Saccharomyces cerevisiae S288C: one gene and its partner. Each later gene encodes a partner of the first gene's protein in a complex. Each region holds a gene or a part of one and is shown on either strand. Other genes may lie near its edges. The genes, in order: SPP2 and PRP2. A codon is read from its position in the direction of its gene.

Region 1 (3,261 bases):
ACTTGGAAGTGTATGATGAGGTATCAATGGTGGCTTTATTTAGTATATGCCATCGGCCTAATGCTATGCCTAGGCCCGTCGTATATTCATCCAGATGAACATTTCCAATGCATCGAGATTTTGGCTATGCAGTTCATGAAGGTCAAAGGTACCATCCCATGGGAATTTAAATCAAAATTTGCTGCTAGGAGTTACGGCCCCCTATTATTGGTTTACGGGCCTTTGTTCACTATTTTAGAATCTTTTCCCGAAATTCAGGACAACCCAGCGTTAATTCTGTATTCGATGAGACTACAAAACTATGTGATGTACCTATTGTGCTATCATTTTTTAATACCTAAATTAATAAGGGATGAGAGAAAGGCCGTACAATTCATCAAAAAAAGTCTACTTTTAACTTCTTACGTAACCTGGACGTACCAAACACACACGTTTTCCAATTCCATAGAAACGCTGGCTTTAATCTCAACTTTAACTGTAATGGAAGATATGGTAAACGAAAAAAATATTCAAAGAAGTAATTTCAAAAATTCGGTTATATTGGGACTTATATTTAGTTTTGGTGTTTTTAATAGAGTTACTTTTCCTGCATTTATTTTCTTACCATGTTTGATATTATTCTGGAAGTTTTACCGGGTCCATTGGAAATCCTTTTCTTTACTTTTACTTTCATTTTCATTTTCCTCGTGTCTATTTGTTCTTATTGATACAAATATTTATAACAACGGAAAGGGATTTGTCATTACGCCCTTGAATAACCTGAAATACAACCTCAATGTCCAAAATTTGCAAGTACATGGATTACATCCAAGATACACCCATCTGCTGGTCAATTTACCTCAAATAGTTGGCCCAGTATTGCTGCTAGCGATTTTTTCCGGTTACAAACTCGATAAATTATCTACTTACGCAATCATATCTGGCCTGCTTTTTCTTTCATTCTTTCAACATCAAGAATTAAGATTCCTTGTACCGCTAGTGCCACTACTCGTGACAAACTTAAACTGGACACCTCTGAGTTCCACGTTAGTAAACAAGAAAATTTTCAAGGGAACTTGGCTTCTTTTTAACATAATCATGGCGTTCATCATGGGAATTTCACATCAAGCAGGAATTATCCAATTTTTGGGAGATTACTTCCACTTTCGTACCGAACAAATGGGCGTTCACATATGGTGGAAAACATACTCACCACCCACCTGGATGTATATGAGCAATAACCTAACCGTTTCTTCTCTTATCAATACACAGGATGGTATTGAGTCGATAGATGAAGTGGCATTCAGTGTAGGTAACCATCATGTAATAGACCTTAAAGGCTGTGATTTACCACTTTTAACAGAAACAATTAGGCGGCTGCGTTTAAACGGGTCCATAACTCCACTAACTTTAGTAACTCCCAATTCCATGACATCAGAATTGAAAAAGTTGAAGAGAGATGGCACTATTAACTTAATACCCAAAAGAAATTACTTGTTCCATTTGGATTTGGATCATCTTGATTTCAATGATTTCACGACTTTTAAGCCAGGGCTAACAGTGTACTCCATCGAACTACTATAAGACCAGCTATATGAGGAGTTATGCATATATTATGGCTGTGAATTTAAGTTTAAATGATCTTATCCTAGGTATTCTTATAAAAAAGAAGAGTGCTTTAATCGAGCAATGGTTAACTATTTGTTGCATACTCATTTTTTCCCATTGAAATCTCTAATTGTAGGCTGATACAAACTCGGTACTCAGCTCAAGATAGGATTGTTAGTTCTGATATGCAATCTTATTAATCTATGTATAGTACACAACTGTATGAAAACCTCCCGAAGTCTAAGTAAAGCTCCATTGATGTTCTCTTGCTGTTAAGTATTATATTACTCCATAACCAAATCTGTGTTCACACGTACTACAAGCTTGACATGATACTGACCATAGTACATGTGCAAGTTATTCAAACTAAGAATTACAGAGCTTCATTTGTCACAGTCACTTCATACTACTATGCTTCTAATGCTTCTAATATTTATGCATTGCAGGTTCAACATGCAACACTTGGGTTCTCAATGATCTGGCGCTATCATTTGTTACCCGACCGTGCGTAGAAAAAAATGTAAAAATATAGGAATAGCTGTTTTAAGTTATTAAGGTAATAATGCACGTCGAGCGATGGTAGGTAAAATGTCTAGAGGCATATCTAGGATGTAGAATGAGCAAGTTTTCACTTAAGTTGGGGAGTAAGACCTTGAAAAAAAATATTTCCAAGAAGACGAAAAAAAAAAACTCATTACAGAAGGCCAACTTATTCGATTGGGATGATGCGGAAACTGCAAGCCTTTCGCATAAACCTCAAAGTAAGATAAAGATTCAAAGTATTGATAAATTCGATCTTGATGAAGAATCATCTTCTAAGAAGAAATTAGTGATCAAGCTGAGTGAAAATGCGGATACCAAAAAAAACGATGCTCCTCTGGTGGAATATGTCACCGAAAAAGAATATAATGAGGTACCTGTCGAGGAATTTGGAGATGCTTTACTTCGGGGTATGGGGTGGGAAAGTGACTCCGAGCAAGATTCTAAAGGCGACAAGACACAGAGTCGAAACAAGGACGTTTCAAATGTTTCACAGATACATCCTGATGGACTGGGAATTGGTGCCAAGTTAAATAAGGCAATAAACGTGGAGGAGGCTTCATTTATGCCCGTCGTAAAAATCGATAAAATAACGGGCACTAAAGTTGATGACGACAAAAAAAATAAGTCATGAGAAAGTTTGAATATATAATTTAAAGTACTTGGTATATACACATTATATTTTATGCATGTTCCGAAGGAGGTATTTTTAGTTTGGCTTTTTTTTCTTATTTTTTCTTCAATTTACTTGATAAATGAAATGCAAGGAAGTTCAGTTTGATATTATATAAGCAATAGTCAAACCATGGCACCAAACCCAAACAACAATAATTGGGATGCAAAGGTAGTACCCCATTGTTTCATCCAATCATTTTTGTTTTTAAACTCCCAATCTTCTACTATTTTGGTTAAATCAACATATAGCTCCATGGTAATTTGGTCTAGTATTTGATTAATGTTAATAAGCTGTAAATCTGACAAGTTTTTGACCATCTTACAGCGTAAAACAATTTCGTTTGCATTAGTATTTGGTTGATTATGAAACTTGATGATTTCCTTCGTGGAATTGGAAGTGACTTTTGTAGTTAAAGGATAAGATTTCCTTTGCCTATTAATCGATACATTTGGCGAGTT
Region 2 (5,172 bases), on another chromosome or scaffold:
GTATGTATACGTGCACTATTATTTAATTTTACTTTATATTGCCTCTAATTATTCTCAATCACAACCAAAATACTTTGAATCAAAAAATCTGGTCAATGCCCATTTGTATTGATGATTTTGTAACTTTTCTCTGGAGATGATCATACCAGCAAAAATGTTGACTTTGTTATCAAATGCATTTAATATACGTCGGATACCAACTTCAGTGGCCAAATAAACCACCACGCTAATCTTTTCCAAATCAATACCATGATCTAAAAGCACCTGGATGGCCATGATCATGGCCGCACCACTTATGATTTGACCTTCCATTAAGAAAACCTTGCCAAACTTTTCTATATTTGGGGGTAAAAATTCGCAATGCAGTTGAGGTTCCCCAGTTTGTGAATCGGACTGAATCAACAATTTACCAATTGTGATATTGGGGATCGTCTTTCTCAAAGACTTCATAAAACAATCGCCAGATCGAATAATATTAACAGCTGTAACTTGATCGAATTGACAGGCAATAACGTTTTCCATGGTATGCTCACCAGGTGTAATTATGTTCGTATGTGCTACAGGAATGTCATCAAGTGCCCATGATAACAAAATTGTTGCTAACCTGTCAAAGTAGAAAACAAAGTCCGCGCAATTTAGATTTTTATTTAGAAGCATAGTATGCAGCGAAAGAACTTGGTTGGTGGGCGGCAATTCATGAATTATGTTACGATTAAGCACATCTTGTGAAGGAGAAGAGCCCAATTTGATTAGCTCTCTTAAGTGTTCATTTGATTTTAGTTCCAGTTTTGACTTGATGTGGTTAATGATTAAATTTACCGCTGTAGCATTATCACTCATCGATGGAATGATAGCATCTGCATTCTTCATTGTTGGTTTCACAAACTTTACCGCATTTGGTTTCACAAATTTCTCCCATTGTTGAATACAACCATCCAAATCTCTCCCTCTGGAAACTATATCTCTCGACAATCTTCTTGCTAAGCAGACATCCAAATCAGCGTCAACATAAATTTTCAAGTCCATCAAATCCAGCAATCGGCGATCGTAAAGGGCGTAGATCCCTTCGATAACTACCACACTGGCCCCGTATATGACTATATTTTTATCAGGAACTCTATTGTGGTGGACGAAGCTATAAACTGGGATATTTGTCCTTTTGCCCTCCTTTAAGTTCAAAATGCACTTATATGCCAAATCTAAGTTGATGGCATTTGGCTCGTCGAAATCGTATTCATTTTTAAAGGCTCTGGCTCTGTCCTCTGGGCCTAATGGATTGTAAAAGTTATCCAAAGATATTAATACTGTCCAGGGAACATTAATTGACGACACAATCTTAGCAGCAACGCTTGTCTTGCCTGAACCTGAAGCACCACCTATACCTATTATATATGGAGTTGTCCATGGTGGGATATACCGAGAGCTTTTTCCTTTTGTTTTTTTGACATCTACTTCACCATCCATGACTGCATTAGCTTTCAATGTGTCTCTTGTTTCATCGTCTAAAATTGAAATAAATGATGAAGATCGTTCTTTGGAAGGTGCTATACGATGGGACATAATAAATAAAATAAATGCGAGTTCGAAATTAAACGTATGAAATTATCGAAGATGTCGCATATAAATAGTAAATAAGACGTTATCCAAGGCCTACAGCCTTACGAAAAAAAAAAAAAATCACATCTCTTATCTTATCGATCTAAATTTTTCAGTTTCCTTTTTTCATCTCGAAGCTCATCGCATGAAAAAAAAACTTCGATATGTGAGCGTATTAAGACAATAGAGGAAATAGTGAGAACAAGTGGGAAAATTAAAGACTAATCATCGAAAATATGCAAGAATTCTTTAAGTGCTCGTATCTCAAATGTAGCCAAAACAGTACTAGCCCATACAACCTGATGACGAGAACGTGCTGAAAGTGGAAGACAGTTAGTTACCCGGACAATTAAAAAGTGATATTAATCAATTGTATAAGTAATAACGGATAGCTGCTATATGTTTAATTGGCATCTATATAGATAACAAGCGTGTATAGCAACACATGTCAAGTATTACATCTGAAACCGGTAAGCGAAGAGTGAAACGAACGTATGAAGTTACAAGACAGAATGACAATGCAGTAAGAATAGAGCCTTCTTCCTTGGGTGAGGAAGAAGACAAAGAGGCCAAGGATAAGAACTCTGCCTTGCAGCTAAAACGATCACGCTATGACCCCAATAAAGTTTTTTCTAATACGAACCAAGGTCCAGAAAAGAACAATTTAAAAGGAGAACAACTTGGATCACAAAAAAAGTCATCAAAGTATGATGAAAAAATAACGTCAAATAATGAACTTACTACAAAGAAGGGTCTACTAGGTGACTCCGAGAATGAAACTAAGTACGCCTCTTCTAATTCTAAATTTAACGTAGAAGTTACTCATAAAATAAAGAATGCAAAAGAAATTGACAAAATAAACAGACAACGCATGTGGGAAGAACAACAATTGCGAAATGCTATGGCGGGGCAAAGCGATCACCCTGATGATATAACATTGGAAGGCTCTGACAAGTACGATTATGTGTTCGACACAGATGCAATGATTGATTATACTAATGAGGAGGACGATTTACTACCTGAAGAGAAACTTCAATATGAGGCACGTCTAGCACAAGCTTTAGAAACTGAGGAAAAGCGTATACTGACTATACAAGAGGCAAGAAAACTTTTGCCTGTACATCAATACAAGGATGAGCTACTACAAGAGATCAAAAAAAATCAAGTTTTGATTATAATGGGTGAAACCGGTTCTGGTAAAACCACACAGTTACCCCAATATTTGGTAGAAGATGGATTCACTGATCAGGGAAAGTTACAGATTGCCATAACACAACCACGTCGTGTGGCGGCCACTTCTGTTGCTGCAAGAGTAGCAGATGAAATGAATGTTGTGCTTGGGAAGGAAGTGGGTTATCAGATCCGTTTTGAAGACAAAACAACCCCAAATAAAACGGTTCTAAAGTATATGACGGATGGTATGTTACTAAGAGAATTTCTTACAGATTCCAAATTAAGCAAATATTCTTGTATTATGATTGATGAAGCTCATGAACGTACTCTAGCCACAGATATCCTGATAGGTTTGCTGAAAGATATTTTGCCGCAGAGGCCCACTTTAAAATTGCTTATATCATCAGCAACAATGAACGCAAAAAAATTTTCAGAGTTTTTTGATAATTGTCCCATTTTCAACGTTCCTGGGAGAAGATATCCTGTAGATATCCACTACACATTACAGCCGGAGGCAAACTATATACATGCCGCTATAACAACTATTTTTCAAATTCATACTACGCAAAGTTTACCGGGGGATATATTGGTGTTTTTAACGGGGCAAGAAGAAATTGAAAGAACAAAAACCAAACTGGAGGAGATCATGTCTAAATTAGGTTCTAGAACAAAACAAATGATTATAACTCCTATATACGCAAATTTACCCCAAGAGCAGCAATTGAAAATTTTCCAGCCGACTCCGGAAAATTGTAGGAAAGTTGTTTTGGCAACTAATATTGCGGAAACTTCATTGACCATTGATGGTATTAGATATGTCATTGATCCTGGATTTGTTAAGGAAAATTCGTACGTACCCTCCACTGGAATGACCCAACTTTTAACAGTTCCATGCTCAAGAGCTTCAGTTGATCAGCGTGCCGGTAGGGCTGGTCGTGTTGGGCCGGGAAAATGTTTTAGAATTTTTACCAAATGGTCATATTTGCACGAGTTGGAACTTATGCCTAAGCCTGAGATCACAAGAACAAATCTTTCTAATACGGTGTTATTATTATTATCGCTTGGCGTTACTGACCTAATAAAGTTTCCCCTGATGGATAAGCCCAGTATCCCCACATTACGGAAGTCTTTGGAAAATTTATACATTTTAGGTGCCTTAAATAGCAAAGGGACAATCACTCGGTTAGGTAAAATGATGTGCGAGTTTCCTTGTGAACCTGAATTTGCAAAAGTGCTTTATACAGCTGCTACGCACGAACAATGTCAAGGTGTACTAGAAGAGTGTTTGACCATAGTTTCGATGCTACATGAAACACCTTCATTATTTATTGGTCAAAAAAGAGATGCTGCGGCAAGTGTGTTAAGCGAAGTGGAAAGTGATCACATATTGTATTTGGAAATCTTCAACCAATGGAGAAACTCTAAATTTTCCAGAAGTTGGTGTCAAGACCACAAAATTCAATTCAAAACGATGTTGAGGGTAAGAAATATTAGAAACCAATTATTCAGGTGCAGTGAAAAGGTTGGATTAGTTGAAAAGAACGACCAAGCCAGGATGAAGATAGGCAATATAGCGGGCTACATAAATGCTAGAATAACTCGATGCTTCATCAGCGGGTTTCCGATGAATATTGTACAATTAGGCCCCACCGGCTATCAAACCATGGGTAGGTCATCAGGTGGGCTGAACGTTAGTGTTCATCCTACCAGTATACTTTTCGTTAATCATAAGGAAAAGGCGCAGAGACCAAGCAAATATGTGCTTTATCAACAATTGATGCTAACGTCGAAGGAATTTATCAGGGACTGTCTAGTTATCCCTAAGGAAGAATGGTTGATAGACATGGTTCCACAAATCTTTAAAGATTTAATTGACGATAAAACAAATAGGGGGAGGCGGTGAAGGTTTTTTGACAGGTGTATGTGTATTGCTAGAAACGCAGGCTCCATTCTATATGCACGTTTGAAGATGTGGTATGCGTATGTATATATATATATATATATAGACTAAAGATAGATAGCATAGATTTTATCGTTGTAACTTGCGATAAAGATCATCCAAGACGTCTCTCTTAATTTGCAGTTCTTGTTCACGTTGATGGATGATATCCTGCCATTCTGATGGACTTTTACTTAATAAATCCTTGGTATCTTCGTTTTCCGATATCAAAGATTTACAAAGTTTCAAACGATGTCTAATCGAACCTGTTAAGGTTTCCAATTGATTTGAGAGATTGTTTGGATCCTTCCTTATTTGGTGCAGCGAATAAAAAATATGCGGTATAAATTCACCGTTGGAACTGGTGGAGGGAGTACTCAGATTTTTCGGCTGCTGGTTGGTAAGATAGTCTTTTTCATCTCTATTTTCTGCAGACGAAAATTCTTCCTTTGTAGCCTCAGCAT

The links.
Region 2: the proteins of SPP2 (region 1) and PRP2 are in contact, whole or in part, in a cryo-EM structure (PDB 7DCP), measured with the Saccharomyces cerevisiae proteins. Residues at the interface, in NP_014791.1 of Saccharomyces cerevisiae: Ile73 (codon at 2,420), Lys74 (codon at 2,423), Leu75 (codon at 2,426), Ser76 (codon at 2,429), Glu77 (codon at 2,432), Leu88 (codon at 2,465), Val89 (codon at 2,468), Glu90 (codon at 2,471), Val92 (codon at 2,477), Glu96 (codon at 2,489), Tyr97 (codon at 2,492), Asn98 (codon at 2,495), Val100 (codon at 2,501), Pro101 (codon at 2,504), Val102 (codon at 2,507), Glu103 (codon at 2,510), Phe105 (codon at 2,516), Gly106 (codon at 2,519), Asp107 (codon at 2,522), Leu109 (codon at 2,528), Leu110 (codon at 2,531), Met113 (codon at 2,540), Gly114 (codon at 2,543), Trp115 (codon at 2,546), Gln140 (codon at 2,621), Ile141 (codon at 2,624), His142 (codon at 2,627), Pro143 (codon at 2,630), Asp144 (codon at 2,633), Gly145 (codon at 2,636); in NP_014408.1 of Saccharomyces cerevisiae: Lys170 (codon at 2,549), Tyr171 (codon at 2,552), Asp172 (codon at 2,555), Tyr173 (codon at 2,558), Pro413 (codon at 3,278), Glu414 (codon at 3,281), Ala415 (codon at 3,284), Asn416 (codon at 3,287), Tyr417 (codon at 3,290), Ile418 (codon at 3,293), His419 (codon at 3,296), Ile422 (codon at 3,305), Thr423 (codon at 3,308), Lys454 (codon at 3,401), Ile458 (codon at 3,413), Lys461 (codon at 3,422), Leu462 (codon at 3,425), Pro519 (codon at 3,596), Gly520 (codon at 3,599), Phe521 (codon at 3,602), Thr538 (codon at 3,653), Pro540 (codon at 3,659), Phe565 (codon at 3,734), Ser569 (codon at 3,746), Leu574 (codon at 3,761), Leu595 (codon at 3,824), Thr600 (codon at 3,839), Asp601 (codon at 3,842), Leu602 (codon at 3,845), Ile603 (codon at 3,848).

Annotation. Positions count from the first base shown.
Region 1 is NC_001147.6:608,140-611,400, reverse strand, and holds SPP2 (spliceosome ATPase-activating subunit SPP2), read left to right. Parts: upstream 1-2,203; coding exon 2,204-2,761; downstream 2,762-3,261. Other genes in the region: SMP3 (glycosylphosphatidylinositol-alpha 1,2 mannosyltransferase), read left to right, coding at 13-1,563; MDM32 (Mdm32p), read right to left, coding at 2,926-3,261. UniProt on the Saccharomyces cerevisiae protein: Involved in pre-mRNA splicing; specifically in the final stages of spliceosome maturation. Promotes the first step of splicing.
Region 2 is NC_001146.8:643,820-648,991, reverse strand, and holds PRP2 (DEAH-box RNA-dependent ATPase PRP2), read left to right. Parts: upstream 1-2,041; coding exon 2,042-4,672; downstream 4,673-5,172. Other genes in the region: uridine kinase URK1, read right to left, coding at 55-1,560; CSE2 (Cse2p), read right to left, coding at 4,799-5,172. UniProt on the Saccharomyces cerevisiae protein: Involved in pre-mRNA splicing. Is required together with ATP and at least one other factor, for the first cleavage-ligation reaction.